2 linked regions of the Astyanax mexicanus genome follow. The protein of the gene in region 1 interacts with the protein of each later gene in a pairwise test. Links are inferred from orthologs where the notes say so. Each region holds a gene or a part of one and is shown in the gene's direction. Other genes may lie near its edges.

Region 1 (16,031 bases):
CAAACAAATAATATTTTGCCTTTTTGGTACCATGGTTTTTTTATTTATAATCCAAACTTTTTCCCTTTTTACCCCATAATAAGAGTTGTTCATGGATGCATTGTTTGCAGATTGTTACATTTACATTGGCTTTTATTTGACTGCAGACAGCATGAACTATATATAGATATTTCATGTTTGTTTCTGAACAACTTAATATACAGTACATGCATTCCTGCATTTTATGCCTGCAATTCATTCTAAAAGACAAAAATCATATTATCATCCCCCTGTTGTAGTTAATACAAAGATTAGTCACAGGCACTAACAGTCCTTATGAGATACATGCAAATGTGCTGTGTTTTAATGTCGTCACAAAAACAATGATTTTTGAAATTAAAATCTGCAGTTTAATTTCCATAAATGTTCTGTATTGACAAATTAGACTAATATTTTGAGTTCTAGCATATAATAGATATACAGTAAGGGTCACAATGTAATGATTAACTAGTAGTAGAGTCCTGCATGTTGCTAAGGTTACCTGTTTTGAATGAGTTGAATGGGTTCTAGTACAAACCTTTAAACACTAAACAGATCATTCTGTAAGCTTCAGTACCTTTGAGTGTGCTGAGTCCAGTGACTCTAGACCTGGTCACTGACTAAATGCCCCATCTCACTGTTTATTAGAGTTAATTATTTGAGAGCACTTTGTACAATCTGCAGCCATGGGTGTAGAGTGTAAATGTTGACATCAAGTCCTAATGAGTTGAACTGACTATCATTTTCCCTTCATTACGGGCTTATGAGATCCTACTGGCCGGCTGTAGAGTGGGCTTAGTGGTCCGGGCCTATAGAGCAGCCAGCGTCACCGCCTGCTCCATCTAAGGAGCCCATCTGTGAGGAGGAGGACAGATGGGAGCCGCTGATTGAGAGACACTGCCTCTCTCACTCTTTCCCTCTCTTTCTCTCTCTCCAAATGTTGGGTGGATGTCGTTCTATTTACACTTCTGACCAAAAGAATCCTATACACAGGAAATGCTTGTGAATGTGAGTTCCCCTTGCTCAAATGTGGGGAAGTTTATTTATTTCCATGAGCATTCCTGATTCGCACTCTCTGAGGCTGCAGTGTGAGGCCACTGCGCTGAGTGAGAATCATGGCTATATATAGTGGCAGTGAACACGGCGGCGGCGGTTACCGAAGGGGCTGGTTCTTTGTACTAAGATTAGACTTTGTCCTAAAGATAAATAAAATTTATTGAGGAATTCTATTTAAAAGTGTTTTCAGCTTCTGTATTTGGTCTCACAAAATAGGCACGAGCCTTCAGGTTCACATCATGAAATTTAGGCCTAAATTGTGAGCAAAATGACCTTGTCCTGTTCAAGATCATGTCTCTTAAAGAAGCAAATCCTTTTTTTAAAAAAAAGTGGGTTTTGAGCGATAAATTATACAAAGACATACGTAGATCTGAACAAACGTATTTACTTATGTGGAAAAACAACACTTTATTTATACAACAGGCATCAGTTGTGTTTGCATCCCAGTCTTTCTTCCTTTTAACATCTGAATCAGACAGTTTCACCCTTGCTGTGTTTCCTTTCCCACTAAAAAGGTTCACAACTGTTTTCATCCATGAGGTACTTAAGGAGAGGAGAGAAGCTACGGCATTATACAATTTGTAATTTGTCTTGTATTCCTATTACAAGTGCAGAAAGGAGCATAATAAAAACCATAGTTCAAATAAACATTTACATTTACACAGCAACATCCGCGAGGGTTTGCGTCGCCCGGCTCTCCGCGGGTAATCCATCAACAGGAGTAACTACTGTCAGCCATTCATGAACCTGCAAATGGGCCACCCAGGCTGTGCCAACCCTGAATAATAATAATAATAATAATAATAATAATAATAATAATAATAATAATAATAATAATAATAATAAACTTCACTTTACGGAGAAGACAGGTTATGTCTTTTTCAAGCGTTTCTGTATAAAATATTAAAGTGTTAAAGTTACTGAATCTTATCCAGTTATTACAATAAAAAGCTGTAGTTTAAAGTTTACAAAAAAGAACTTATGGGCTGGATTCAGGTACTGTGGGCCATCAGATAGCTCAGGACAATATATTGTTTTAGCCACCCCATCTCAGTGTATGTAGAATGTGTATGTATAATGGGCACATTAAGAAAATTAACATTTTTTTGCTGCTTAATACTAAATGCAAACTCATACTGTTCTTGTTTTACATGATATATCTCCAACAGTCAATCACATCTGCTCAGCATAATTTACTCCAATCTCCAATACACAGACTGCATTATAAATAGCATGACATGCTGGATCACTGACTTCTGGTAAAATCTAGAGAAAATACTTGAGTCTTAATGTTGTAATATCACACGAAAACAATATTACAATGTCAGTTTATGTTTGTTTTCCATTATAGCACAGCCCTTTACACAGTGTGTTCCATAAAAATAGGAAACAACCTTTTTGAAAAACATAAATGCATAAATGGTGCTGCTTTACACACAACATTCCTAAACTGCACCAGCAGACATTATGGAAGGTCAGATTTATTGCAATTGATTGCAATTAACACTGTGAAATCCCATATATATTAGAATGCCAGAATTAAAAAGCTATTTATATGGGCAATAGGATTTTATTTATTAAGTAAAAAAACACTTATATAATAACATTCATCCAGAAAAAAATAATTTTACATTAATGTGTTCATTTAAACATCTCCAAAAGACCCATTGTGGAGTCATAGATATGTATTACATAGAACTGTATTACATACAGTTATCATCCAGCAACTGATTTGGTAAATCAGCCCTTAGTAATATATTAAATCAGGTGAGCAGGTGATGGAATTGATTGGATCTCATCTACTTTCTACAAATGAAGAACTGCAGGTGCACTGTTCTTTAGTGTGATCTGGAGTTTGTACCAGCAGAAACTTCCTTATTGCTGAGATTAATTGTTTTAAATAATGTCCTTTACAGGTGCCTGAAACATCTGTACAGTACTGTACATAATACAATTCGTGCTGTTACAAATGCCATAAGCTATAGATCCTAAATGAGCCCCATCTACTCTCAGCTGGAGGTGGGAATAAACAGGTGATTATTGAATTGTCCTTTGATACCTGATGGCCCGTATAGCTTAGCAGTCCAGCCTCTGTCCACAGCTGCTGCTCACTCAGTACAGTCTCTCTACAGACTCCTCGCTGTAGCGCGCGCTCTCTGAGGCAGGCCACGTCACGCGTACGTAGGAGTGTAGCGGCTCGAGCACGAGCGGCGGCGGAGGCAGCGCCGGTGTGCGCGCCCCGTCCGTGCGTAAGCACGCGCAGTTCCGCTGGACCGCGCCGACCTTCCGCGCTAGGATGCTCTCGATGCTGAACGCCTTCGCCCTGTCCGTCGCCTTGCGCACCTCTGGCTCCGGCGCGCTCCCGGCCAGCGGGGCGCGCGCTGCGAGGCTCTCCGGGTCCGTTTTGTTTTTTTGCAGGGGAGAAGCGGGGCTTTTAGACGGAGAGACGGACATGATCGCGCAGTGGCCAGGCTTGCCAGTTGTGGAGCTTTTGCGCGCGGAGGAGTTGGGTGCGCGCACCTCTCCATGACACCGGACAGCAAGTTTGGTACTCTCCCCGTGATGCTGCTCCTCCTCCTCCTCTTCCTGCTCCGTATCATCTTCATAATCTTCATCTCGCGCCCCTTCTCCCGCCACAAACCTCTCTTTCTTGTCGTGGAGTTTGGAAACAGGGCGCGCTCCCACCCGTGCGTGTCCTCCACGAGCCCTCTTTTGAAGCGCCTTGTCGTCGCGCGCCTCCTCCTGTCCCCGGGCCTTCCTCTTCCTCCGCCGGTAGTTGCCGTTCTCGAACATGTCCAGGCACTTGGGGTCCAGCGTCCAGTAGCTGCCCTTGCCCGGGCGCCCCTTCTCCCGCGGCACTTTGACGAAGCAGTCGTTGAGCGACAGGTTGTGGCGGATGCTGTTCTGCCAGCCCTGCTTGTTGTCGTGGTAGAAGGGGAAGTTGTCCATGATGAACTGGTAGATGCCGCTGAGCGTGGCGCGCTCCTCGGGCGCGCTCTTGATGGCCATGGCGATCAGGGCGATGTAGCTGTAGGGCGGTTTCTGCGGGGGCTCCCGGCGTGCCGAGGCCAAGCCCAGCGCCGGGAACACGCCACCCAACTCGCCGCCGTACACGTAGATGAGGGGCGTCGAGCCGCTGAGGCCCAGCGCCGAGGCGCCCAGGCCGGCCTGCGCTGAGCGGTGGTGGTACAGACTCATGACTGGCTGCTGGACGAGAGTTTCAGCCCGGCCGAAGAGCGGCACACTGAGTCCATAGAGCTGCCGTTGTGGTGGCCGAGCGGCTCGCTCTACCTTCTCTCTGAAAAATGTTAAATAATCGTTGTACGTTTGCTGTTTTATGTTGACTTAGCGCTGGAAAATAAATCGGCTATGATAAACACTCGCTGGCTTCTCAAGCCCACCCACATTAATTAAAAGTTTCATTGGAGAGAGCGGGAGAGAACCCGCTGTTTTGCTTTACACCCGCTTTCAGGGTGTCCCCGCCCACACAAGACAAGCCACGCCCTTCCAATGATACTATTGGCCGCTTTGACTTCTCATACCCGTTTTCCGGCATAGTTGTTGTTTTTCCACCTGTTTTACGGTAAGCCCTATAGTCTATAGTCTGATTGGAAAAATAATAACTATAATGGAACTATAAAAAAAACATTTAAACCAAGAATAAAGGATCATGAATCATGAATGGATCCACAAAGCTCTATAAAAAATAAGGAGTCTAAATTTCTTCAGACCGTCTCAGTACACACGCAAGACTCGTAGACAATCACAGCCCAGAAAGGCGGAGCTTGCCGGAATACAGGTGGGGAACGCCCCAGCTCTCAGCCTCGTGTCCCCTCGCAGCCAGCCAATGGCTTGCTCGCTTATTCCCCTCATTTGTTTACAGAATTAGGCTGTTGATAAGTCTTGCCCACCCAAGACGAATCAAGCTGTGTTTATTTGGAAAAATTTCCGGGCACCCAATACATAAACGCGCTGATCTGATGTTTGAAATATCACGTCCACCCCTCGACGCTGAGAGTTGCTCGCACAGAGAGAGAACAAGCAAACACGACCGCGACCGCTTTCTTCTGGGACTTTCTTTCAGGGACTGGTTGGAGAGAAAACAAGAGAATGTAAAGAGGGAAATAACTTCAGGCTCGCAGCACTTTCCCAGCGAACAGGAAACGTTAGAAGAACGTTCAGGAACATTTTAAAAAGGTTCCAGGGACGTTATAGAGAAATAAAGTTACAGAAATAACGTTAATTAAATAATTAAAATGTAATTAGATGTATTAGTCGTTTGCGTTACAACGTTACACACCCAACCTTTTAAAACGGATCTAATTAAACGTAGACATGATTTTATTTATGCATAATAATAACATTGCATTACTTTTTGTAAGATGACTCTTCAATAATGGTAAAACAAGTCTAGACAGATTAAACATTCTGAGAATCAAAAGTCATAACATTTAACAGACCTTCATGGTTTTCACTGAAACCCTGGGGTGTTCCTTAATATATAAAAAAACAAGGATGTATTTGTTCCTATCAACAACATTCTTCACAAGTGACCTTGCAAGAACACAATTGCAAAAACACAAAAGCAGATGACAGCTATAGAGATGCTGTGTACTTTATATTTTTTATATTAAATTATACTAATGTACTCTATAATGGTAAAATCTGCCTTTCATACTGTTTAATTAAAGTGAACTGTGAACTTTGGATGAAAGATTTCACAATTTAACATCTTTTTGCCTTCATGTCAGCACAGAATTTGCAGTAAATTATGAAAAAATCCATTCATTCTCATTAAGAAAATCACCAATCAATCATTCTTGGTATTCTTGAGTATAGGAATGTAAATTAGACAGTTGAAGATAACACTCAAGAACACACCAGAATGCATATTAAAAAACAACCTTGTGTCTACCTGCACCATAATCCATATGTGTATCTCATTTCATTGTTTAATTTAATTTTGTTGTTTTTTATTTTAAAATACTTGAGGTAAGGTTTTGTTCACAGGAAAGTCTGTGGAGCTTCATGAAACACTTGTGGAAAGTTGTGTTGAGTGCAGATTCTGCATATAATCTTAACTAGGTCCACATTTGAAGAAGCATCACAGTTGTGAGAATAGGGTGGAAGAAAGGGCCTATGACAGCAGCTATTTCCAAAAAAGGAGAACTTGGCTGGACACTGGGGTAAACTATATTATTTGTGGATGTGTGCATGATGCTTTATATTATGTATTTTCCTGTTTATAGGAGTGAGGGGGATTATAACAACTTTACAAGTGCACACAGCTGGCCCGTGATTACATTACGTGTTTGGAGGTTTCAATGGATAAACTTAGAAGTTTTCCTGAGTTTGACTTTTCTCTCCACAGACAGTGATTCATAAAGTTTTAGACCAAAATACCAGACCCAACAAGCAATGAGCCTCAACGTGTGGGGACCAGACATGTTCTTCTGTTTGACAGCAGTCACTAACTTTTTTTTATGCCAGCAAATGAATCTGTCTTGGTAAGATACGTTCTGTGTGTGATTTACTCTGCACGAATAAGTAACAAAAAAAAAACACTAAACTGATCAGAAACTTTTTATACAACAATCTGTAGCAAATTTACCTTCAAATATTAGGGAGAATCATTGTCTCTCTGGGTCATCAGTACTGTGCTATGATAGAGCTGAATGAGACCTCTCAAAAGAACTGCTTGATGTTGGCAAAATGATTAATATTTTTGTAAAATCCTGTAATATTACCTTAACAGCTCAGTTCATGTCCTTCTTTCAATTCATACGCTGCTGTATTTGCTGGTTCTGCATTTCTTAGTTTGACATTAAATGCATGCAACTCCAAAGCATCTTAACTCTTACTTGTATTCACAAATTGGCACCATAATACTGTTTAATGTCTGATTCCAATTACATACCTGTATTCACACCCGAAAGTCTGGATTGAAAGTCTGGAGCCTGTATCAATGTTTGTTACATTGCCTAATTGTGATTTCACACTGCAGTTTAGTGAGCAAACTAAATAACTTCCTATCATCATCAGCTGTATGTGGAATGAGTTATCCTGCACTGTGATTATCCTAACACTGGTTCATCACACCCCTAGGTTACTTTATGACTAAATTTAGAACTATATCATTATCATTACAGTCCCAATTTGTAATATATTAATTTGTAATATATTAATTAGAGGATCCCCATCCAGCACAGCACCAGCCAGGGGAGGCAAACTGCAGACCTTAAGGGGACCGAGTACAGCTGCTCTTAGCAAACTGATTTAAACATTAAAATTATGATTCTGATTCACTGCAAGTTATTTGTGAGGTGGATCAATTGTTTCTGAAGCAGTAAATAGTTGCCAGTGTTCAGAACAAGGAGTGCCCTAAAGCAGGATTTAAAAAAAAGTAAGCTCACAATGAAAACTATCCTCAAGTTTATTTGAGTTATTAATACTGTGGGTACAGAGAAGGTACATATCCTGGATAATGGCCCCTAATTTGTGCAGTTTTCTCAAATAACTTTTCAGTTGTGCACCCATTAAAACAGTCAATTACATGCTGCCCTCTGGTGGGAGAGAGAGAGAAAGAGAGAGAGAGAGAGAGCATATCTGGCAACGGTTTCAGTAGGAACAGTGACTAAAGTGACATATTATTTTTACCAATATATATAAATATATGGTATTCTTCATTAGTCAGAAAATGATCAAGCATTTCATGTGTTGGATCAGATAAGTGACAGCAGAATTTACTTTTATTTTAATTCGAAGGCCAGGGGTGTCCCCAAGATTTGATTGCTATCTCTGAGCAAATATGTCAAACCGTTATTCATGTTTGTTAACATTATCTTATAGCCTTGATATATCATATTACTGCCACAGGAAAAAAGGTGATTAAGGATACAAGATAATATACTGAGGCAACAAAAATACATTTAGAACACAAGGTAATATATTGTCTCATGGTCTCAATTTTGTATCTTGTGGCCTCTAAATAATATGCTACAGCCAAAAGAAAACAATTATTAAGGCCAAATGATAATATAGTTAGGCCACAGATGTATTGTAATGTATTACCTTATGGTGTCAATTTCGTATCTAATAATAATATATATAATATACTGAGGCCACAAGAAACCATACAACTTAATATATAGGTATAATTAGGTCACAAGATATTATCTTATCTATTATCTATCTATCTATCTATCTATCTATCTATCTATCTATCTATCTATCTATCTCTCTCTCTCTCTCTCTCTCTCTCTCTCTATCTCTCTCTCTCTCTATATATATATATATATATATATATATATATATATATATATATATATATATATACCATTCTGAGACAACAAAGTAATAAATTGAGGAACAGTATAATATACTGAGGCCACAAAATAGTAAACTGAAGACAGTAACGTTATAGTATAATATAAAGGGGGTTCAAATATGAGAATGAGGCATGTGGAATAATGTATTAAATGGAAGTAAATTAGGTTAGGTTATCTTTTTTAATCAGTTAAATTGGGCTAAATGGTGAGGTATCCGGCGTGTTCAATGTTTTAACTCTGTTTAATGACTGCTAATTTGAAAAGGCACCACCGGAAGTGTTCCTCCCGCCGCACAGGAAGCTGAAGTATCAGCTGATGTTGGTGTTTTTGATGGAAGTTGCGGTGGGAGCTGAGCGGGGCTGTTTATTCTCCTCAGCCCGAGAGAGAGCACTCAGCGCCGGACACGCACCGAGACACAGCACGGCTACACGCGGCACAGCGGCAGCGCGGAGCGGAGCGCCGGAGGAAGCGGAGCGGAGCGCTGTGTGAGGAGGAGGAGCGCGGTGTCGGAGCTGTCTGTCCGCCGCCACCGGAGCCGCTACTGCTGCTGCTGAACCCGAGCGGAGAAAAGAGAAAAACAACAAGGCGAGGCGGCGCAGGACAGCCGGATCCGCTCACTTCGGACAGATCACCAGTCGGATCCTGCTGCTTCCGACCTCAGCGGGACGGAGATAACCGCCTGGATATCTGATAGGAGATAGACAGAAAGAGCACAGCGCTGAAGTAGAGCGACAGGCAGACTGAGGAGTAACGGTGTTGTTTTTATTGTTAGTGAGAATCGACAGCTGACGTGTTTTCAGTTCAGGAGACGGGGCTAGATTGCATCATCGGACTGGATATCTGGTTGTAAGTTTGGCAGAGCTCGACTTTGGAGTTCAGAGCTGCCGTGTAACAGCAGATTTTCAGCGGGTTGTGTTTTAAACCTGTTTGTTGTTGCTTTGTTTCTTTTTGTAAACGCTGTTGAACTCGTGAGTCAGATCGTCCATATTTATTGTTCTGGTTTGGCAGTTAGGTTAAGTTAACAAAACTAACTTAAGCTAGGGTTAAGTTTACCTGTGTTTTTTATTCAAGGTGAAGCTTTCATATTTAACTAGCTACTTAACCTAACACACTTTTTAATGTGTTTTAAAGATTTTTTTCGTCAATTTCGATTGTGTTTGGGTAGCTAGCTAACCTGGCTAGGTTAACCCAGCCACCTAGCGTTACCTTGGTAACTAGTTAGATAGGTTAGCTAGCTAGGCTACTTTTTTCACATTATTTATTTAACCAATAAACTCGCTGACACTGTTGAACGTGGGTAAGAAAAGTTAGGATGGTATTTTAACGTTAACTTCGTTAATACTGAAAGCCGTGTTGTTTATTTAGCTTTGACAGTATTGTTCACGACACAAGCTAACGTTATCTAGTTAGCTATACGTTGATGTCTCTTATAAGAGAGGCGGAGCTAAAAGCTGCTGCGTAACAACAGCGGGGTCTCTGTCATCCGCTCAGTGTTAGTTAGTTAACTAGTTAGTTAGTGTGGAAGGACAGGTCCAGATCTGGCACAGTCCGAGAACCCCGTTGAAAACCCAATGCTGGATCTGGAGGTGGTTCCTGAGCGATCTTTGGGAAATGAACAATGGGAATTCGCATTAGGTAAGAAACAAGTGCTAGGAAAATCCCCTTAGAACAAAGGTTGAATTACCTCATGTCTATTTGCACTCAGCTCATGCTGCTCTGTTCAGTTATTGCCTCACATTTAGCTCTGGAAAAAAATAAGAGACCACTTTAGTTTCTGAATTAGTTCCTCTGATTTTGCTATTTATATGTAGATGTTTGGGTAAAAGGAATATTGTTGTTTTATTCTATAAACTACAGACAACATTTCCAAATTCTAAATAAAAATATTGTCTTTTTGCAGAAAATGAGAAATGGCTGAAATAACAAAAAAGATGCAAAGCTTCCATACCTCAAATAATGCAAAGAAAACAACTTCTCATTCAAGGTTGAATATTTGGTGGAACAACCCTGGTTTTTAATCACAGTTTTCATGCATCTTGGCATGTTCTCCTCCACCAGTCTTACACACTGATTTTGGATAACTTTTTGCCACTCCTAGTGCAAAAACTCGTGTGGCCATGCATCTCACTTTTGATTATATTCCAGAGGTTTTTAATTTGGTAAAATCAAAGAAACTCATCATTTTCAAGTGGTCTCTTATTTTGAATTGGCAAATTGTTCCATTGAACAGATCTGCTCACTGTAAATTTTTTAATTTTAATACAAGTAATCATGTAACGCAAGGAAATAACTCACTGTCTGCCCCTGTATCTGTTTGAAGGGATGCCATTGGCCCAGGCCATTTCCATCTTACAGAAGCACTGCCGAATTATCAAGAATGTCCAGGTGCTCTACAGCGAACAAGTAAGGCCAGACAGATCATTATTGTGTGAGAAAAAACATAGAAAGATCTAGTGTTTGAACAGAATTTGTTTTTTTTACAGGTTGAGGTGAAAATTAATAATGCATAGCTGTGCAACTGTGTGTCATTTACATCCTCTACTTCAATCTGACCTATTCTTCTGACTTGCAGATGCCACTCAGCCACGACCTCATACTCAACTTGACTCAGGATGGAATTAAACTGCTGTTTGATGCCTGCAACCAGAGACTAAAGGTTTGGAACAAATCATGTTAATGTTTGTTTGTCTATGCTTTTTAACATATATTTGTCCATTTCACTAAATGTTTGTTGGTATTTGCAGGTAATTGAAGTGTACGACTTGAGCAAAGTGAAACTGAAATACTGGTAAGTGGATTTATTTTAAATGCTACTTTGTGCGCCTATAATTTTAAGCTTGAATATTGATTCCTCAGTCAGAAGAAAACAGAAGAAAAGAGCAGGGCCAGGCAAAAATGGGTTGCTGGCAACTGTGCACTTGTGTGTAAAATGTTATCACCAAGACACTTGTACATTCACTGGCCACTGAAAAGGCATCTTGTTCTATGTTAAACTGATCTTTTAAAAAATGCATGGTGGCCTAAAGGGACCTTAATGAGATGTAGCACCATCTGTTGGACAAAAAACTGGCTTAATGCGAGTTAGTGTGTCACCTCAGTTCTGCACAAACACTTATTTTTTGTTTTGCAGTGGAGTACATTTTAACTCTCAGGCAATAGCACCTACCATTGAGCAGATTGACCAGTCCTTTGGCGCTACTCACCCAGGAGGTAATGCTTTCAGTCTTTTTCCCTGACTGTAAAGAGTATTTAAAAAATACAGATTTCGTCACTTTATGCTTAAATCAACTGTGGAACAATGCAAACCTGGGCATTTTATTTATCATCCAAAATATTCATTTACACTATGTATATCATTCGTATTGGGACCCCTTGTGAAGTTTTTATGAAATCTCATTCTAAATACAAAGTCATTTAATATGGTGTAGGTTCCCCCTTTTCAGCTTCTAACTCTCAGCAGAGCATTGCAGACTTATCTGTACTATGTTCCTCTGCTGTCTGTTAGCCTGCGTTGTAACTTTTTATGGTTCCTAATCACGTCTACTTATCAATATTACAACTCTCAGCTGAGCTTGAAATATCCAAATGGGAAGAAATTTCACCAACTGACTTTTTGTAGTGGTAGCATACAGGGTGTGCCCACCAATTCTTTCTTTAATGTTTCTAAATGCAGAATGCATGGCTATCTCTGGCAATGGGACTGGATGAAATGCCTGAATTGCTTTTGTCTAAACGTTGTTTCTATGTGTGATGATAGTAAAATAACTTTTTTCAAATGTAGTCCATCAATATGCATTAAAACATTTCAGAAAGAAGGTTTTGGTGTTAAGTTTTTGTTTTATGTTCCCAGTCTACAATGCTGCAGAACAGCTCTTCCATCTGAACTTCCGTGGCCTCTCCTTTTCCTTTCAGCTAGATTCATGGAGTGAAGCCCCTAAGTATGAGGTAAGCCAGTCAAAACCCCCCGCTGAGCCCTGCTCTAACTGTCTCTGATTGTTTCTGCAAAGTCTTTACCACTTTTTCAAGATTTCGGCAGTGCAGCCATTAAAACATGCTATTAATCACATTTTTTTTTAGTAATCATTCCCAACAAATCACATTTGTATGTGTTAGTCCAGTATGAGTTGGCAAATAAGCATGACCAGTATTGATTTATTATTTATTACCTTAATTTATTCATTTAAAATTAGATGTTCATGGATGATATTAATTGTATTGCACGTTCTAACCAATGACTGTAAATCTCATTTGTTATTACATAAACTGTCAACAGTTCCTCTCTAGTTATAACCTCTGTCTTGAAGAGTCTCTTGAGAAGAACTAACACATTGCTTTTGCTCGCTTTCTTCTCATTTATTTTTCAGTAGTTCTCCCACAAGTGTAAGGTAGTCTGCTGAAGGTATTGCTTTAAGAGCCATTGTTAAGACCTTGAACTACAGTAATAGAATTATTGGTGCTGTATTAATTTAAATTCTTCTTTAAAATGGTCTCACAGTAAATGTTGTGGTAAGGACAGGTAAAAGGTTCTATTCTCTTGATTGTTCCATAAAGGACATAGATTAGGACAGTGTCAACAGAATGTGGTTTGGCTTTGCTTTTATAGCAGTCTTATGATCAGTTTTCTCAGAACAATTTGTTGTGATGCTTTGCTGTCTTCTAATGGACTTTTGCTACCTTGTGGATCTCAGTTATGTACATTTTCAGAATCCTAGGCAGTTTCAAAGTAGAACATTGTAAAAACAATGGCCATTATACAAATATATATTTCAGATCTTGGTTTTATAGTCCAGATGTTTTAATTATAAGTGTTTTACTGGTATGTGTTATTCTTGTTTTATTCATGGTTTTGTTCAGTATTAGCAGTTCAGTCTGTATTGCAATCATACAGTTAATCAAAGAATGACTTACTGAGTTCTCTGGTTACACAACCAGCTAAGGTTTGGCCCATCACTGAGAGAAAATTGTCACGTTAAGTCAAGCTTATTTATATAGCTCTTGTTGATCCAGAGCTGTAATTAGCTGCTTGATAATGCTATGCTATGAATGTGCCAGCTTTCTTTTTTGGCCTTGTTTGCTACAAAGCAACACCTACACATGCGTGCAACTACTCCTAGTTGTTTTGCCTTGACAGCCTAACTTTGCCCATGGCTTGGCCTCCCTGCAGATTCCTCATGGGGCTACAGTCAAGCGGATGTACATTTACACTGGAAACAACCTTCAAGAGACCAAGTAAGAGCTCTGTGTATTTGTGTGTGTACACATGCCTGTACATCAGCACCGTGTGTGAAGTGTTCAAAAAAGGACAACACTGCTATCTAGTGGTCAGGCTTTAATAGATCCTGTGGTACAGTATTGCAAACCTAATGGGACTGTTTTCCAGACGTGGATTAAACCTAGTCTTGGACTGTGCAGCATATTGTATGGATATTTCCTATTGAAAGAACAATGCAGTGTAAAACTAGGCTTTATCCCTGTCCCTGTCTTAGATCTATCTATATATATATTTGTTATTTATTTCTTCATTTTTGTACAGTACATTAGAGTGCAGAGTGGACTCATCAGAGATCAGAGTACGAGTATTATTTAATGTACCATTTCCTTTCAGATGCTGTAAATGACCAGGATGTTGAATTAGGTTCAAGCAGCAAACACTTAGCGCTCTTTCTCTCTCTCTCATTCTCTTTCTCCCTCTCAGGGCTCCAGTAATGCCCCTAGCCTGTTTTCTGGGTAATGTGTATGCTGAGTGTGTAGATGTTCTGAGGGATGCGACGGGGCCACTGGGTCTGAGACTGCGGCTTCTCACTGCAGGTACAGAACTTGGCCGCGTCCCCTGTGATGCCAGTGTTCTCCTGTTTACTTGATTTTATACTGTTGTTTTAAAACAGCAACTTTGTGGAAAGGTATTTATGTGGTTTCTTATTAGTTTTGTGAATATTTGTGAGATCTATAAAAACTTTGTTTTTCCTCTCCACTGAGAGGCGATATGTTCTAAAACAAATTCAGTGTGCCAACAGTGTCCCAAGTTCAGAGTTGCATGTTGAATATTCCTGCTTAGGATGTGGTCCAGGAGTAATGGCTGATGCGAAAGTGCGGGCCATGGATAGAAACATCTATTTTGGGGATTCCTGTCAGGACGTCCTGAGTGCTCTGGGCTCTCCACACAAAGTCTTCTACAAGTCCGAGGACAAGGTAGTAAAGCTACAACCAACTTTTTTTCATCAAACAAGTTTTATCTTTGGTTTCATGTTCAGCTGAGAAGCACGTATCAAGATTTACATGTGTTTCTTTATAACCTCTCTACCTTTTCAGATGAAGATCCATTCTCCCTCTCCTCACAAACAAGTACCGTCCAAGTGTAATGACTACTTCTTTAACTACTTCACCCTGGGAGTGGTAAGTTTTGTTGCCAGAAAACCAGCAGATTTCGTGCAGTGCTTTTGAGGTCTTGGCCAGTAATAACCTATAAATACCACATTGTTGTGGCTAATACCTGTGCCAGTAACTGATCATTTCCTTCTCTTCATTATAATCATACGTAAAGTCCTATATTCATATATACATTGCAGTGAGAAACCGCGCACTGGGGTTTATAATGTGTTTCAGAAAATTACTGCAAACGAATGACAGTAAATTGGATTTTCCAAATACTACTAGATTTCTAGGTGTATCTAGTAATATACAAGAAAAAACTCACCTAAGGAAAGCCTCACAATTGTAATGCTTAACCTGCTTGTAATAGGGAGAATAGCATTTCTATCATTGCTACTCCGAGTTATGCATGCTACTTACTAAACTATGGTGAAGCGGCTAGGACAGCACTCACGAAAACTGTTTACTGATGCTTAATTCAAGTCATATTTGCATTAAATTCTGGAATATTGTTCTCCTGCTTTACTAGTCATATTTTTTTTCCTTTCATTTTCAGTTCTATATCTAAATTCCATGTCTTGCAATATATATGAAATACCAATTCTAGCTTAATCTTTCCTATTGTTAAATATTCTGTAGGATAAAACAGTGGCAAACACAGTAATCTCACGCACATCCAACCATTCTATAACTTCTCCAATATTAGTATCCTAGAGCTTGTCTCACAAAACACAACAGAGATGTGAAAATGTTAAATGATTGTAATATAGGTGATATTTGTAATGGTATAGTGGTATTATTTTATTTTATTATACACTGCCATCCATTTCATTGAAATTGCACACCACTGTTTGACTAACACAAATATTAAATGGAAAAAAACCTGTTAATATACCCATTCATCATTTAGACACCTTATTAGATTTTAGACATAGCACTGGATGGCATAATTATTTTTGTTATGGCTTTGCAATGCTTTATGATCTGCTGTAGCTGTTGGTATTGATCCTGCAGCTTGACAGTTCAGTCCTTACTTTTGTTTAAATAATCGTAATTTGTCCTCTTTTTTTTTCAGGACATACTATTTGACTCTGTGACTCATCTGGTGAAGAAGTTTGTTCTTCACACCAACTTCCCTGGCCATTACAATTTTAATATGTAAGTGTAATTCAGCCTCATTTTAGCTGTGTTGCTGGAACTGCCTTGATAAACGTGTTTTTTTTTGGGATGTTGCCCTGGTTAAAAAAAATACATATTTCA
Region 2 (15,849 bases), on another chromosome or scaffold:
AATCATCACCATATTCAAAAATGTTGGTGATATTACGATATGGCACACCTTTAATGGAAAACAATAGTAATAATAATAATAATAATAATAATAGAAAAAAAAAGGTCCAGCGGAGAGACCTACAGATTTAGAAGAAAAACCAATGCGACACCCCTGTTCCTTACTAGCATTGCAATTAATGCGCCTTATAATGCAAAAAATACTGTAACGATTAGTCGACAATGGAATTTGTAGTTGATTAATCAGATATACAGCTCTGGACAAAAAAAAGAGACCCCTTAAAATGATGAGTTTCTTTGATTTTACCTTTTCGATTAAAAACCTCTGGAATATAATCAAGAGGAAGATGGATGATCACAAGCCATCAAACCACCAAACTGAACTGCTTGAATTTTTGCACCAGGAGTAAAACAGCATAAAGTTATCCAAAAGCAGTGTGTAAGACTGGTGGAGGAGGAGAACATGATGCTAAGATGCATGAAAAAAAACAGTGATTAAAAATCAGGGTTATTCCACCAAATATTGATTATTTCTGAACTCTTAAAACTTTATGAATATGAACTTGTTTTCTTTGCATTATTTGAGGTCTGAAAGCTCTGCATCTTTTTCGTTATTTTAGCCATTTCATATTTTTCTAATTTTCTGCAAATAAATGACAGTATTTTTTTATTTGAACAATGTTCATTTTATTCAAAGATATACCTACAGTATAAATAGCAAAATTAGATAAACTGATTCAGAAACTGTAGTGGTCTTTTAATTTTTTCCAGAGCTGTATATTTTAACGTTTTGTTATATGACCAAAAATGCTGTTTGAAAATAACCTAGAATATAAAGATATTACTTTAGGACCATATTGCCCACTTCTATGCAACACACACACACACACACACACATATATACAATATATTTAGCAATATCGTACACACACACCTCAGGTAGGAGGTACTTCCTCAGCAGGTTCACAACAACAGCTTCTGATGAAAGGACCTCGTTAGGATCGCTGCACAGTTCACTGGAGCCAATCCTAAAGTCTAACTTCATCTTCTCCATGCCGTTAAAGATGAAGAGAACCTCCCTGGCCTGGTCTCCCTCTCCGCTGAGAAACGGTGTCCTGCGGAGGTGCATGTACTTCCTGCCCACAAGGTCCCTGAGGGACATGGGTTTGGACGAACGACAGAGATCCTCACAAGAGAAGGGCACCACCAGTTTAAACTGGGAGAGCTTTGATCCAGAACACCAGTCCAACACCAGCTTACGAACGACCGTACTCTTCCCCGTACCGACGGCCCCGTAAAGCAGCACGTTGAGTCCTCTGCCATGTTCCTCGCTCTGACTGAGGTGAAAGAGCTGATCCACTGTGGGAGATCTGCTCACTGAAGCACTTTCCCTGTACGGGCTGATGGAAGAGCCTTCACCCTCCTCCGGGCGCTTCTCCAGGATGAGTGGCTCTACGTGCATGGTCTCAGGAGAAAAGTACCCACCAAACTGCTTTTCCTCCTGAGGTAAGTGATTAAACCACAGCATTAACTTGTGTTTGTGGATCTCTATGGGATCTGTGGGTCAAAAACAAGAAAAATTGTAATTAAATAAAAATAAAAATAGTCAATAAATGAAAAATAAAATATTCTAAAAGTATAAATACTCTATAATAGCTTATAACCAATAACTGGGAATTGGGGATAAAGCTGGGCGATATGAAGACAACCCTTTAACAGGATTATTTGAACATTTTACTTTACTTTATTGATTACGATCAATAAACCATTCGATTATTTGACGGACATGATGTTTTCCACTGAGCTCCAGGAATGGCTCAGTATTTGACGATGTCTCTTTTGTGTTGCATCCATAGAAATAATATACATAGACCGGTGCCATCTATTGGAGCTGGCCGCCATATTGGATGGGTCTCCCCAAGTGCCGCATTTATTTGTACTAATACAACTAAGTAAAAATGAACATTGTTGTTTTATTCTATAAACTACAGACAACATTTCTCCCAAATTCCAGAAATGCAGAAAAGATGCAGAGCTTTCAGAACTCAAATAATGCAAAGAAAACAAGTTCATATTCATAAAGTTTTAAGAGTTCAGAAATAATCAATATTTGGTGGAATAACCGTGGTGGTTTTTAATCACAGTTTTTTTTTTCATGCATCTTGGCATCATGTTCTCCTCCACCAGTCTTACACACTGCTTTTAAATAACTTTATGCTGCTTTACTCCTGGTGTAAAAATTCAAGCAGTTCAGTTTGGTTTTATGGCTTTTGAGGTTTTCAATTTGGTCATGAATGTCTGTCATGTTTAGTTAATTTTTAATGAACAGCCCAGCCCTAGTTTAAGACAAATACGTTCCTGTTATTTATTTTGTTCATTTTATTAAACTTAAGAATGCAACACAGGATAGTCCTAAACAACTTTTTTTGGCAATTTACTTGACTATTTAGTATCATGATATTCTGTATCATTGACTTTTGTGACAAATCTGATAAAATTCTTGTATTCTTTAATATCGCCATATCATAACATATGCAATAATATTAAAATGTAATTTTCATTTTGTTGCAGTAGTGTATTCCTGATTATTTTTTTTTTAATTCCTTGTTTTGTCATATTGCCAAGAGTATCGTTATCATAAAAATAGCTTGAAAAATCGTGGTATTATTTAAGGGGTCATATTGCCCACCCCTAGTGCAAACCCCAAAAATATACATCAAAAATAACAAAATCCTAACTCACCTGTGTTGGATGCGCCAGAACAATACAACCTCACGGCACAGGATGAAGAACTCCATGAACTTCCAAAGAGACCGATCCACCTACAGAAGACAGATGACTTCAATTATTCATTTATACTATAAAAAGTAAAAATAATAAAACTATTTGTTATGAGATTGTTCAATTCATATTATCTTACTCAGGAAATAAGAATGGCCCAGTCTTTCTGGCATGACAGACACCGACTGGAGGAAGACTTAAATTAGCCCCTTATAAAGAATATAGATATATAATGCAAATCAGTAAATCAACAGAAATTAGAGTTTGAATGCAAATCAGCTGTAAATTAATCAGATTGTATATAAAGGCAGTTAAGATAAATGAGATAACTGTACTTCTCTGTGTAAAGGTTGGGTATGTTTTTTGGAGCTTGTCTTTTTGAGCTCCACAGGATCTTGTCCTTTTCAGAACTCCTGTTCTGGTCGTCCTCCCAAATCTCCACATTCTGTTCTCCTTCCAGACCCCACCTAATATAAAACATTACAGAACACTGTTTGTTAAAAACACACAAAATAAGAGAAATGAGATTTTTATGCCTCTCACCTTGAGGAAGCATCGTACAATTGTTTATAAGCTAACAAGAAAAGAAAACAGAACTGAAGCCAACATTGGTTAACAGAGTAAGGGGTGAGAGAAATGGCTTTCCTACCTAAAAGAATGGTCATTATAGCTTTTTACTTTTTTTTAAATTTGGTTTCTATGATCCGGATCAGTTGATGAGTTTGTGTTTATTTGGAGCTTCAGTTTCTCCCTCTGTTTGGTTTGGTTTTACACAGGCATAAACCTAAACGCACCAAAAAGTGCACCAATAAGCACCGAGTGGTAAAGCGTTGCCACTATGAGCGGGAGGTCGCAGGTTCGAACCCCCGCTCATGCAGCTTTACCATCAAGCTGCCTGCTCCCTCCGGGTGGGTACAGTAGATGGCGCTCTCTCCCCACATCACTCCTAGGGTGATGTCTGCAGCACAGGGCGTCTGTGAGCTGATGTTTCAGAACCGAGTCTGTGTGCTTTCCTCCGAGTGTTAGCGCTGTGATGCTACTCGGAAATGCTACAGCTTCAGCAGCAGCTGGAAAAGAAGCGGTGGCTGACTTCACATGTATCAGAGGAAGCGTGTGTTAGTCTTCTTAACCCTCCTGGTGTGTTGGGGGTGTCCTGATGAGGGGGTGGGGTGATTGGCCTTGTAAATTGGAGAAAAAATGGAAAAAAAATTTAATAAAATTATAAAAAAAAAAAAAAAGCGCACCAATAAACCATGCAAGGACATCGTCTCCTCTGATTGGTCAGAGCTGTCTGGCATGGGAGCAAGAAAGTAAATATATGGAAAAAATTCTGTGTTCCGGTGTGTATATCTGTATATCTGTGCAGTGTGAAGCTGCTTTGCTTTTAAACACAGTGTTTTTAATAAGACGTTCACTGCAGATGTACATTTATTAAACAAGGTCACGTGGCTGCGAGCAGTGAACACTACACTGCACAGCCCTTGCTCAGTGTGTAAACAGCATGGAGCAGCAGATACAGCATTTGTTCATAGCTGTGATAATTAGCATTATCTGGCTAATATATCAGATTAAACTGCACCTTATCAGCAGTTTTGCTTAAATAAAAGGAGTGTATAAGTTGAGATAGAGTCACATTGAGACCAGATCACGTTCTCACCACAAGCGAACCACACTAAGGGTACAAACCAACCAGAGTCTGTTTTAACTGAACCAAACAGTGCTGGAGTGAAAATACCCTAAAACTACTGGCCATTCATGCTTGGCATCATTAATTTGAATATGCAAATCTCCAAATGAGGCCATCATTTAAATAGCTCCCTTATAATTCTCACACTAATAGTATTGTGCTTTTTGTATTCTCACTAATTTAACTGGTATTTGCATTAAAGTATAACCTTTTAAATAAACTAATCTTACTTAAAACATGAGTAAACTCATGAGAATGCTTATTAGAACTAATGGAAAGACTTAATTATAATTATAATTTTGTAATAGAGCATGCAAGACTCACAGAAATGAGAAAGCAGAAACTAGCTCCGTATTCACTGTTCCTCTTTCCCTTAAAAATGATGCAGAAGTAACGCTAGCAGTTCACATTCTTATTACGTTAAAGCAGCTAGCGTGTAATTGATGCGTGTTTAATGCGAAAATGGAAACTGGAATAAGAATCCAAGTGATGTGCATCTGTGTGTTTTTTTATTTTTTGTGTAAAAATATGATTTTACAGATTTATCTAAAGACATTATTTCCATCTTTGTTCACATTAATTAGCCTCATCATCATTTACACAGTCCTATATTTATCGTTCCTGACAAAAAGAGGTTTATTCCTTTCAAACCCTGCGTCTATTACAATGGACATCGTGCAATTTAGTTTTTAATGTTTTTTTTTTTTTGCAAATAACTAACAGAATCTATCAGAATAGAGCAAAAACTAGCCAATGAACAAGTTGACAAGCCAATGAAACAGTCATTTAACAGCAGCTCAGGGATTAGAGTGTAGCAGCACTCTAAAGCCAACGAGGCAAAGTAATAAAAGCTAATTGTTGCTAATTGTTGTTTTAGAGTTTATTTTATTATTATGTACTATTATGTATGAATGGGTTGTGACGTAAAAAAGGTCAATATCAAATAAATATATAAAAAAAATTAAACACAGGCTTCTAATGCAATGGACATTAAAATGTTAAGTGGATTTAACTGGACATTATATTAAGGAATCAGCTCCCCAGAAATATTTGTGCTGCAGACAGCCGTAACTCTTTACTCAAAACTCATCTTTTTAGGGAAGCTTACTGCTGTTAATATATCTTTACTTGTATACTTTATTTATTTTTTTATTTTATTTTATTATCATTTTTTTTTATTTAAATACTTGCACTGTAACGTGTAAGTGATTGTATGCATGCTTGTTTTTATGCACTATACCTTTTGTCTATGGCTGTAGGCCTGTCACTATAAGGTTTTTTGTGGACGATATATTGTCTAAGAAATTATTGCGATACACAATATTTTTGTCATTTTAAGACTATTAAATGCCACTGACATAATGATAACAATAGCATAAAAATATACTATGAAGTAACAGTTATTGAAGCATGACTTGTCAAAATACTGTTCACTGTTATATATGTGATCAAACATGCAAATAATAACAATAGACGAAAAATATCACGATTATCAAAAAATATTGAGGTCATGTTCATTTATTGTATGATAAATCGATATTGGAATTATTGCGATAGGCCTATATTGCTGTGTTGTTAAGTGCTTTGAGTTTTCTGGACGTCAAAAAACAGCTAAGCACATCAAAACCCACTAACATGCAAAAGCTGATCTTGACCTGGATGTTTAGGTTAGATACAGAAGGTGTTTTCTTTACATGTAATATTGTTTGTAATATGTCCGTGGCCATAACTACAAATAAAATGCATTCATACAAAACACCTGTGGTAGATGTACTCAAGGCTGTTCAGTTTTAATATAGCATATCTTTCATTTCTTTAGAGTATGGGAACTATATTCATAAATCAATCAATTCAAATGTTTTTTTTAAATTATTTTTATGGTACTTTTTATTATTTTCTTTTAATTCTGGCAAAGGTGACATAAGGACGTCACAACCTTGTCATTTCTGTTTATATTCTATTTTGTATATTGTAAAGCACTTTGTGAGCTGTGTTTAAGAAGGAGCTATACAAATATCATTTATCATAGAAAAATAAATAATAATAAAATAATAATAATAAAAATTGGACACTTTTTTGCTTAGTAAACAATTTCATGTTTTTCTTCATAGTTCGCATGAATTTAATATTAACCTACAATGCAGAAAAAAAATAAAAGAATGATAAACACTTAATTTAAGGTGTGTCCAAACGTTTGACTGGTGTTTTTATTGTATTTTTAATTTGCTATTTTTCTTTTTATTCTGGCAAAGGTGACATAAAGGCATCATAAGTTTTCATAAGCCATTTCTGTTTGTATTCTATTTTCTGTAAAGCACTTTGTGGGCGGAGTTTAAAAAGGTGCTATACAAATAACATTTGTCATAATGCTACTACTACTACTAATAAATAAAAAATAATAATACAGCTAATAATAATAATAATAATAATAATAATAATAATAATAATAATAATAATACAGCTAAATAGTTGAACACTTTTTTCTCTTAACTAAATATACCATCAATTTATTTATTTATTTTTTTAAGGATTTTAAGCAGTTAAACAAATATAGCACGTGACATAAACGTGGGTAACAGTTTTATTTATTATATGATCCTTTTCCAGAGTTTAAACTTGCTGGGGTCAAATTGACTCCTGGGATAAAAAAAAGTTATCTAGTAAATTTAAATGTAAAAGGAGGGTTAAGAAATCAATGACGAACAGAGCACATTATTTTCACTATTTTCTGTATTTTCACGTTTATACAACACAGTATGGTATCGCAGTATGTTATAAAAAGCAGAATTGTGATACCTGGTGCATTTTAAAGCAGTTAATTAGCTAAATTACATTAACGTTACATTACAGTAACACAGGGCAGCACATTACAGTTAATAATTGAATAATTTGGGCAAAAATAATAAAACACGAACAGCAGCTGTCAGATACAGTCTATATTTACAGATACTTCATTCATACAGGGGTACAGCTCATTTCAGTGGGTCAATAAATCAATAAATATTAATCGATAGATAATCGTTTATTCATTCACTGCTGTTTAGCTAGGTTATGTTACTATGGTAACTAGCTTTAGCTAGTTAAGGTTAAGGTTATGGAGAAGAGGCTAACGGTAGGTTAGCTTCAGTTAGCTGTGTTTACCTCTGCAATATACAGCTTTTATTCGCTGTAAACGCGGTTATTTTAGCTCAGCTCTGTTCCTGCATTTAATTATAAGAGTTTAAAGCCCTGCTGTATGTTTGTCTGAGTCTGTTATTCCCTGTGTTTTAGTATATAAGCTATTTATTTATTAGTTAAACGGTGTAAACACATAGACAGTCTCTGTGTTTGTATCTTAGCTGCTGCAGCGGAGCAGCGACCTTGAGTTACTAAGCAGAAGAATAAGGATATAAGGATTATTAAGCGTTATTCAGGGTAATCTGTGTAAATTAACTAAATTAAAAGAAGGTCTTACCAATAACTGAGCATTATCTCATCGCAGCTTCAGTCAGGTTGTTGTATTTCAGTCACTAAAACACAGAGAAATGTCTCCCTGCGATCGTTCAGTCCAGCCTGACAGCACCCACACTTCCTGTACTCACACAGCACAACACCCCTCTATCTATATCTATCTATATCTATATATATCTATATATATCTATATATATATATATATATATATATATACAGCTCTGTAAAACTAAAAACAAGATATCACTTAAAAATGACGAGTTTCTTTGATTTTAGCAAACTGAAAACCTCTGGAATAAAATCAAGAGGAAGATGGATGATCACAAACCATCAAACCACCAAACTGAACTGCTTGAATTTTTGCACCAGGAGTAAAGCAGCATAAAGTTATCCAAAAGCAGTGTGTAAGACTGGTGGAGGAGAACATGATGCCAGGATGCATGAAAAAAAAACTGTGATTAAAAACCAACCAGGTTTATTCCACCAGATATTGATTATTTCTGAACTCTTAAAACATTTTATGAATATGAACTTTTTTTCTTTGCATTATTTTAGGTCTGAAAGCTCTATATTTTTTTTCCTTATTTCAGACATTTCTCATTTTCTGCAAATAAATGCTCTAAATGACAATATTTTTTATTTTATATTTTTGGAGAAATGTTGTCCATAGTTTATAAAATAAACAACAATATATAATTATATTATTATATATTTATATTTCATATATTTCATTTGGAAATGCACTAAAAAGTGCAGAAAAATACTGTTATATTGTAATACATTGCTCTACTGTATCCTTATGTTTTATGTGTTGGCTCCATCTTGTGGCTATAATGGGTATGTTCAGTTCAATCACTATATTAGCTCAGGACTAGTCTTAATCCCTGTCTGGGAAACTGGGCTTTATGATTAGGAGCTGGGAACAGCATAAAACAACTAATGAACAGGGGTTCTAGATGGGACCTACGTGAAATCAACTCAAGCTCTACTAGGCCCCTGTAAAAAAAAATGCACACTACACACACGTTAGCCCCACATGAGCATGTTGACAGAGTATAATATTTATGTATATGACTGCAAAATACAGTCAGTAGAATGGTGAGGTTGTCAAATTAGAGTAATGTTTCAGCACAACACTGGATTATCACAACACTGATTACCACATGCAAAACACAAGGTTTAATATTTGGCCATATAACAAACACACAAGCTTTACTGTAAATAGACAAATAATTAAATCTCAGCTTTAAAAATTAAATCTTGCTTTATTTACATATTATGAAAATAAATGACACAATAAAAAGTAATTTTTTGCAGCATTTTTGTAGCCCTTGTGGTACATGTACTGTATTTACTTTGGCCAAATATGTGCAACGTGACCTGAACTGCCCCTACACACACACACACAGTACACACACCACACACACAAACATATTTTTCTTTTAATCACCACCAATTACAGTATAAATGGAGAAAAAATCAGTGCTTTAAAAAAAGGAGAAAAGGTTAAAGTGCATCATGATTAATGCAACTTTCAATTAAAGAATAAGAGGTGATACACATGCATATGACAAAGGAGCATAATAAATACATTTAAAGGACAAATAATATATTTTTATTTTTTATTTTATTGCTTTACCATATATGGTAATAAAAGATATAAAAAATAAAAATATATAAGCAACTTCACAAATAAACATATCGAAAGAGGGTCTGCATTTTCCTTTTCTTTTACAAAAGAATAAAAATATGATGTTTACTATTACATTTAACTACATATGTACGCTTTTATTCAGAGCTTTTTCTTACGCAAGTGCTTAGTCATTCATTTGGGAGTATTTATCCAATATAACAATTACATTAATTAAAATAAAAAAAATAATTTAAATAAATGCATGCGTCTGTATGATAATGCTATTTATTTATTTATTATTATTATTATTATTATTATTATTATTATTATTTTATTTATTTTATTTTTTTTAAGACAATCCACTGTGTATAGTTACATTCCTCTAAACTTTATTGTTTATTCCAAAGTGACTGAAAGAAACGATGCAGCTCTTGACTCAATCTGATTGGCTTTGAACGTGGAAGCTGTACCGCCTCCAGCGCGATGTGATTGGTCGGTCGCCCGCGGCGCGGCGCTGCCATTGGTTCTTAGGTTTGTTGTTTCCGCTGTACGTAGCCTGCGCGGTGTTGTTGTCGCGTTTTGGGAAGATCTGTGTTTATAGAGCTGAATTGAGGCGCAGCGCTGCAGGTGAGTGTAAATATGAGTGTAAATTGTTTTTATTCCCGCTGTTTGAGCGGAGCGGTGTGTGTGAGGGAGTCCGGGGTCTGCAGATATTACTGTCTGTGTTCAGAGTAATGCTGGGTCTGTGTGTCTGAGAGAGAGGGACAGTTAGCCGCTAACAGCTAAAGCTAAGCTATGATGAAATGTCTGAGGGAGATAAACAGCTGATAAGAGTTTATATCTGTTTTCTGCTGCATTAAAATATAGTTTAAAATAATGTTTAACTGTGAATAGGTATATTATGAAATGTGTTGAAAAAGAATGATAGATAGCTTAGGTAACTTAACTAGCTTCATGCTGTTTTTAAAGTAGACCAAAATAACTGTTCACTGAAGTAGCTAACTAGCTAACTAGTTATTTAGTTAACTAGCAAGCTAAATAATATTTATTTTCACTTCACAAAGTACAGGTGTAAAGGTGAATGAAAACGTTGTGAGCAGGTTCCCACTAGCATGCAGAGAACAATATTTACAACACAGTAGAATAATAAAATAAAATAAAAAATAAACAGTTAAGCTTACAGTATACACAACTCACACAATAACAATAAACACAATAACTTGCACTATAGACAAACGGCTAACTAATTCACATGCTAGTAGTAGGATTTGATAGTGTGGATGGCTAGAACTTATACTGTGTTGATATTATAGATTAATAGTCAGTATGCCTCTTATTTTGCTTATATAATTATTTCTGTATTATATGCACAATGGTTTAAGGAGGTATTGCTAACTAGCTAAAGCTAAGCTATGCTGAAATGTCTGAGGGAGATAAAACAGCTGATAAGAGTTTAATAGCTTAATTATAAAATGTGTTGAAGAAGAATGATAAGTTAGCTTAGGTAACTTAACTAGCTTCATGCTGTTTTTAAAGTGGACCAGAATAACTGTTCACTGAAGTAGCTAACTAACTAACTAGTTATTTAGTTAACTAGCAAGATAAATAAGATTCAAGATTAAATATATTTATTGTAACGTCACAAAATACAGGTGTACAGGTAAATGAAAAAGTTTGTGAGCAGGTTCCCACTAGCATGCAGAGAACAATATTTACAACACAGTAGAATAATAAAATAAAAAACAATATACACAGTTAACCTTACAGTTTACACAATATACACAATACACACAATAACTTGCACTATAGACAAAGAACTAACTAATTCACCTGCTAGTAGTAGGATATGATAGTGTTGATGGCTAGAACAGTAGTAAATTTTTAATTAGATTAGCTAATTTATACTTACTTATACTTTGTAGATATTATATATCAGTATGCCTGTTATTTTGCTTATATAATTATTTCTGTATTATGTCCACAATGGTTTAAGGAGGTATTGCTAACTAGCTAAAGCTAAGCTATGCTGAAATGTCTGAGGGAGATAAACAGCTGATAAGAGTTTATATCTGTTTTTACTGCTGCACTAAAATATGCTTTTAAATAATGTTTTTCAATTGTGAATAACTTAATTATGAATTGTGTTGAAGAAGAATGATAGCTTATTTAGGTAACTATAGCTTCATTCTGTTTTAAAGTGGACCAATAACTGTTTTTACTGAAGTAGCTAACTTACCCAACTAGCTCAATAAGTAACTAAGCTAACCAACCTGCGAGTAGTATTTCTTACACTGTTAATTCATATTTTATAGTTTTATTTTACATTTCTAAGTACTTTGTTAGTTACAATTTATATTTAAAAGTTAATTTTATATTTCTTCTTTCTCCTTAGATAAAGAATATGAATTATTTTAAGTATTTTAAGCATCATTGTGTGAGCAGACTGTCTTTAAAAGCATTTCATGGCAAGGAGTACATTTTTGCTTAGGTTAGGTAGCTAACTAATACTTCAATGTGTTGGTATTGCATATCTATAGTCTCGTTCATTTAAAGCCAGTCATTCAGTAGATAGGTTAGTTTCTTAGGATTGAATGAGAGAGCCAGAACTCCAAAAATCCGCACAGATATAAACAGCTGATAAGAGTTTATATCTGTTTTCTGCTGCATTAAAATATAGTTTAAAATAATGTTTAACTGTGAATAGGTATATTATGAAATGTGTTGAAAAAGAATGATAGATAGCTTAGGTAACTTAACTAGCTTCATGCTGTTTTTAAAGTGGACCAAAATAACTGTTCACTGAAGTAGCTAACTAGCTAACTAGTTATTTAGTTAACTAGCAAAAATCCTAAAATCCTTAACCCACAGTTTTGCAGTGACCAAAAAACAAAACAAAACAAACAAACATAGTACTGATTAGATGTTGTCATATTTTCATTCCTAAAAGTCATTTATTTATTTTTTTTTTATGCTGTTTTGCTTTCTTTTTGTTGTTGTTTTGTACTATTTGCCTGTTTTGCCTCTATCCTGTTTTGCTCATACAATTTTTTCCTTATAATATGCAGAAACGACCACTGTCCTTTACTAAATGCAGTGGTTCTGTATTAGGTCAGATCTGACTCAGCTTTTGTTTTATTGAGAAAGTAATTAAAATAAAAGTCAAGCCAAAGCAAATTCTGCTGCTAGAGGCACACTACTCTTGTAGTATCTGTGGTCATTGTGCATATTATAAGGAGATAACTTATAAGGAGATAACAGGCAAAAAGGAGGGGGGGTGTGAAGGAAAAAAGCAAAAAAAAAAAAAAAAAGAAAAAGAACAACAACACAAAGATACAAAAATACAAAAGCTACAAAAACAAATAAAGAAATAAAGAAGGAAATAAGCTTTTTGTTTTGAATGTGGGAATGAATAGAGAGATATATGAAATAATGAGATAATAAATAATGAGATAAAGAAACAGAAGTAATAAAGATATGTATCTGCCATTTGTTTGTGTGTATTCGTGTGTGTGTGCATATAGAAACATTTGGTTAAAGGTGCTGTATGAATAGGATGGTTATAGGTGTATTATGGTTGTGTTAGTGTTGTGTGGATGATCTATATGTGATATATATATATATATATATATATATATATATATATATATATATATATATATATATATGTCACATGTGTGTGTGTGTGTATATATATATACACACACACACACACAAACGTGTGTGTATATGTAATTTGTATGAACGGTTGTGTAGTGCTGACTATGTTTTTTATGTGTTTTTCAGGGTACTTTTAAATAGATGTTGATATCTTTTCCTTTTCTATATGTTCAACTTTAGGAAGTTGTAGTAAATTATGACAGTAATGTAGTTATTAAAAAGAAGTGTGGGCTACCCTGTATAAGTGCTTAAAGCAAAAAACACCAAATTACTCAACACTTGCCCTTCTTAACCAGTTCTCTCTTCCCTCAGGATACTGACTGATTAATCATGGCGTCTGACTCCCCACGCAGACCAAGCCGCTGTGCTGGAGGGGTCGTAGTTCGAGCTCAGGCTGCAACGTAAGAACAAAACTCTTCCTCTTCTGTAGTTTGTTGGTTTATGGTCGTGTCTGTTTGGGGTCAGTATGGATTGTTGTCTGACTCATCTGTAGATTATTATTCTTTAAGGTTTAGTCAGTGTTTATGCTGCTCTTTCTTTGTGCTTAGTAGAAATCAATTTGTGCAATCTAATATCAATATACAGCTCTGAAAAAAATAAGAGAGCAGTTAAACATGATGATTTTCTTTTATTTTACCAAATTAAAAACCTCTGGAATGTAATCAAGAGGAAGATGGATGATCACAAACCATCAAACCACCAAACTGAACTGCTTGAATTTCTGCACCAGGAGTAAAGCAGCATAAAGTTATCCAAAAGCAGTGTGTAAGACTGGTGGAGGAGGAGAACATGATGCCAAGATGCATGAAAAAAACTGTGATTAAAAACCAACCAAGATTATTCCACCAAATATTGATTATTTCTGATCTCTTAAAACTTTATGAATATGAACTTGTTTTCTTTGCATTATTTGAGGTTTTTGTTATTTCAGACAATATTTTTTTATTTGGAATTTGGGAGAAATGTTGTCTGTAGTTTATAGAATAAAAAAAAATAATTTTACTCAAACACAAACCTATAAATAAATAGCGAAATCAGAGAAACTGATTCAGAAACTGAAGTGGTTCTTAATTTTTTTTACGAGCTGTATGTGTTCAAGGCTACTTTCACATTACCAGACTGAAGTGACTCAAATCTGATTTTTTGCTCAATGTGTCTCAGATCAGATTTTTTCATGGCTGTGTGAACGTGCCAAATGCTATTTTTTCAAATCAGATTTGTGTCACATTCATATGTAGTCCTAAATCGGATATGTATCCGATCCACGGATATGTGACATTAATATTAACGGTCAAATCTGAATGTGCGCGTCTTTTTGCTTTTACGCATTAGCATTAGCATTAGCATAGTGCTACGTGCTTCTCAGCAAAAACAAACCGCCTGGCCTTTTTTCTCCTCCTGGACCTGAACATGAACTTCAGAGCAGCTGTTTACTCTCCACTCCAGCAAAAGATGCTCCACATATGAGCTGCTAACTCATCCATTTCCCTTTATAAACCTACGAGTCTCTCCTCTCTCTAATATGAGGGCTTTTGTTGTTGGTGAAGAAGGAGGCGTTTATACAGGTATCAATGTGCAGCATGTGAGACGGTGTTTCAGGAACAGATTCGTTCACATTACACACAGATACAGATCACTTACATTTACAGTGAATGTGAACCGACAAATAACTTTTAATTAAGTTAAATAATGGGAAATGTGCTTAGAGGGATAACGCAGGGAAGCTAACTTGTACATTCTTTGTAATGAAATTTATATAATCTATAAAAGTGTACATTGTTTTGCCTTTACATTTTGTGATTTAACTGTTTTTCTGTTTTTACAGGGAACAGTCTTACATGGAAAGTGTTGTGACATTTCTGCAAGATGTGGTTCCTCAGGTAAGCTCTTTTATATTATTTCTTCTATATGCTTCTTTTGAGTTATTAAGCATGTTAATACAAGTATACATAGACGTTATCAGTTCTTTAATATGATAAATGTGGCTCAGTAAGCCTTGCCTCTCACCCCAAATGGTAGTGTACCCTAGGGGTGGATGATATGGCCCTAAAATAATATCACAATATTTCATAGTATTTTCATGATAACGATACACTTGTCGACATGACAAAACACTGAATTAAAAAAAATAATCAAGAATACACTACTGCAACAAAATGAAAATTAATTTTACTATTGCGTACAATATGATATGATATGACACACCCCTAACTGAGATATAAAAAAAAAAATACAAGATTTTTTATCAGATTTGTAACAGAAGTCAATGATCCAGAATATCAGGATAATAATAATAATAATAATGCTACACTCCAAATATCTCCATATATCCAGAATTAAAGTAAAATAAATGATACTGGACAGATATAATCTGTATCTAGTAGATATATAATGGGAAATGAGAACAGTGTGATTTTTTCTTTTGTTAAAAACAGTAAAAAAGTAGAACCCTGATGTGATAATTAGGGGTGGGTGATATGGCACCATATTACATCATCACACTAAAAAAATCAAACTAAAATGATTCAAATGATCAACATGGCCTGTTTTAGCATCAAGGCACATGCAGCCTTATTATGTAATTTAAAAATATGTTTGCACCTATGAGTATTATTTAATTAATTACAAAAAGTGTAATAAAA

What was found.
Region 2: the proteins of phaf1 (region 1) and bcas3 interact in binary tests that used the Homo sapiens proteins (3 or more experiments, as listed by UniProt). The link is inferred for Astyanax mexicanus from reciprocal best matches to the Homo sapiens genes PHAF1 and BCAS3.

The regions. Positions count from the first base shown.
Region 1 is NC_064416.1:22,468,952-22,484,982, forward strand, and holds the start of phaf1 (UPF0183 protein C16orf70 homolog), read left to right. Parts: upstream 1-8,703; 5' UTR 8,704-9,973; coding exon 9,974-10,037; intron 10,038-10,722; coding exon 10,723-10,805; intron 10,806-10,974; coding exon 10,975-11,058; intron 11,059-11,146; coding exon 11,147-11,190; intron 11,191-11,532; coding exon 11,533-11,612; intron 11,613-12,252; coding exon 12,253-12,347; intron 12,348-13,533; coding exon 13,534-13,631; intron 13,632-14,097; coding exon 14,098-14,210; intron 14,211-14,457; coding exon 14,458-14,591; intron 14,592-14,711; coding exon 14,712-14,795; intron 14,796-15,846; coding exon 15,847-15,929; intron 15,930-16,031. Other genes in the region: foxl1 (forkhead box protein L1), read right to left, coding at 3,187-4,272. UniProt on the Homo sapiens protein: Plays a regulatory role in autophagic activity. In complex with BCAS3, associates with the autophagosome formation site during both non-selective and selective autophagy.
Region 2 is NC_064425.1:943,480-959,328, reverse strand, and holds the start of bcas3 (breast carcinoma-amplified sequence 3), read left to right. Parts: upstream 1-10,090; 5' UTR 10,091-10,177; intron 10,178-13,519; 5' UTR 13,520-13,537; coding exon 13,538-13,608; intron 13,609-15,032; coding exon 15,033-15,087; intron 15,088-15,849. Other genes in the region: nlrx1 (NLR family member X1), read right to left, coding at 934-1,556, 2,742-2,821, 2,920-2,989, 3,116-3,224. UniProt on the Homo sapiens protein: Plays a role in angiogenesis. Participates in the regulation of cell polarity and directional endothelial cell migration by mediating both the activation and recruitment of CDC42 and the reorganization of the actin cytoskeleton at the cell leading edge.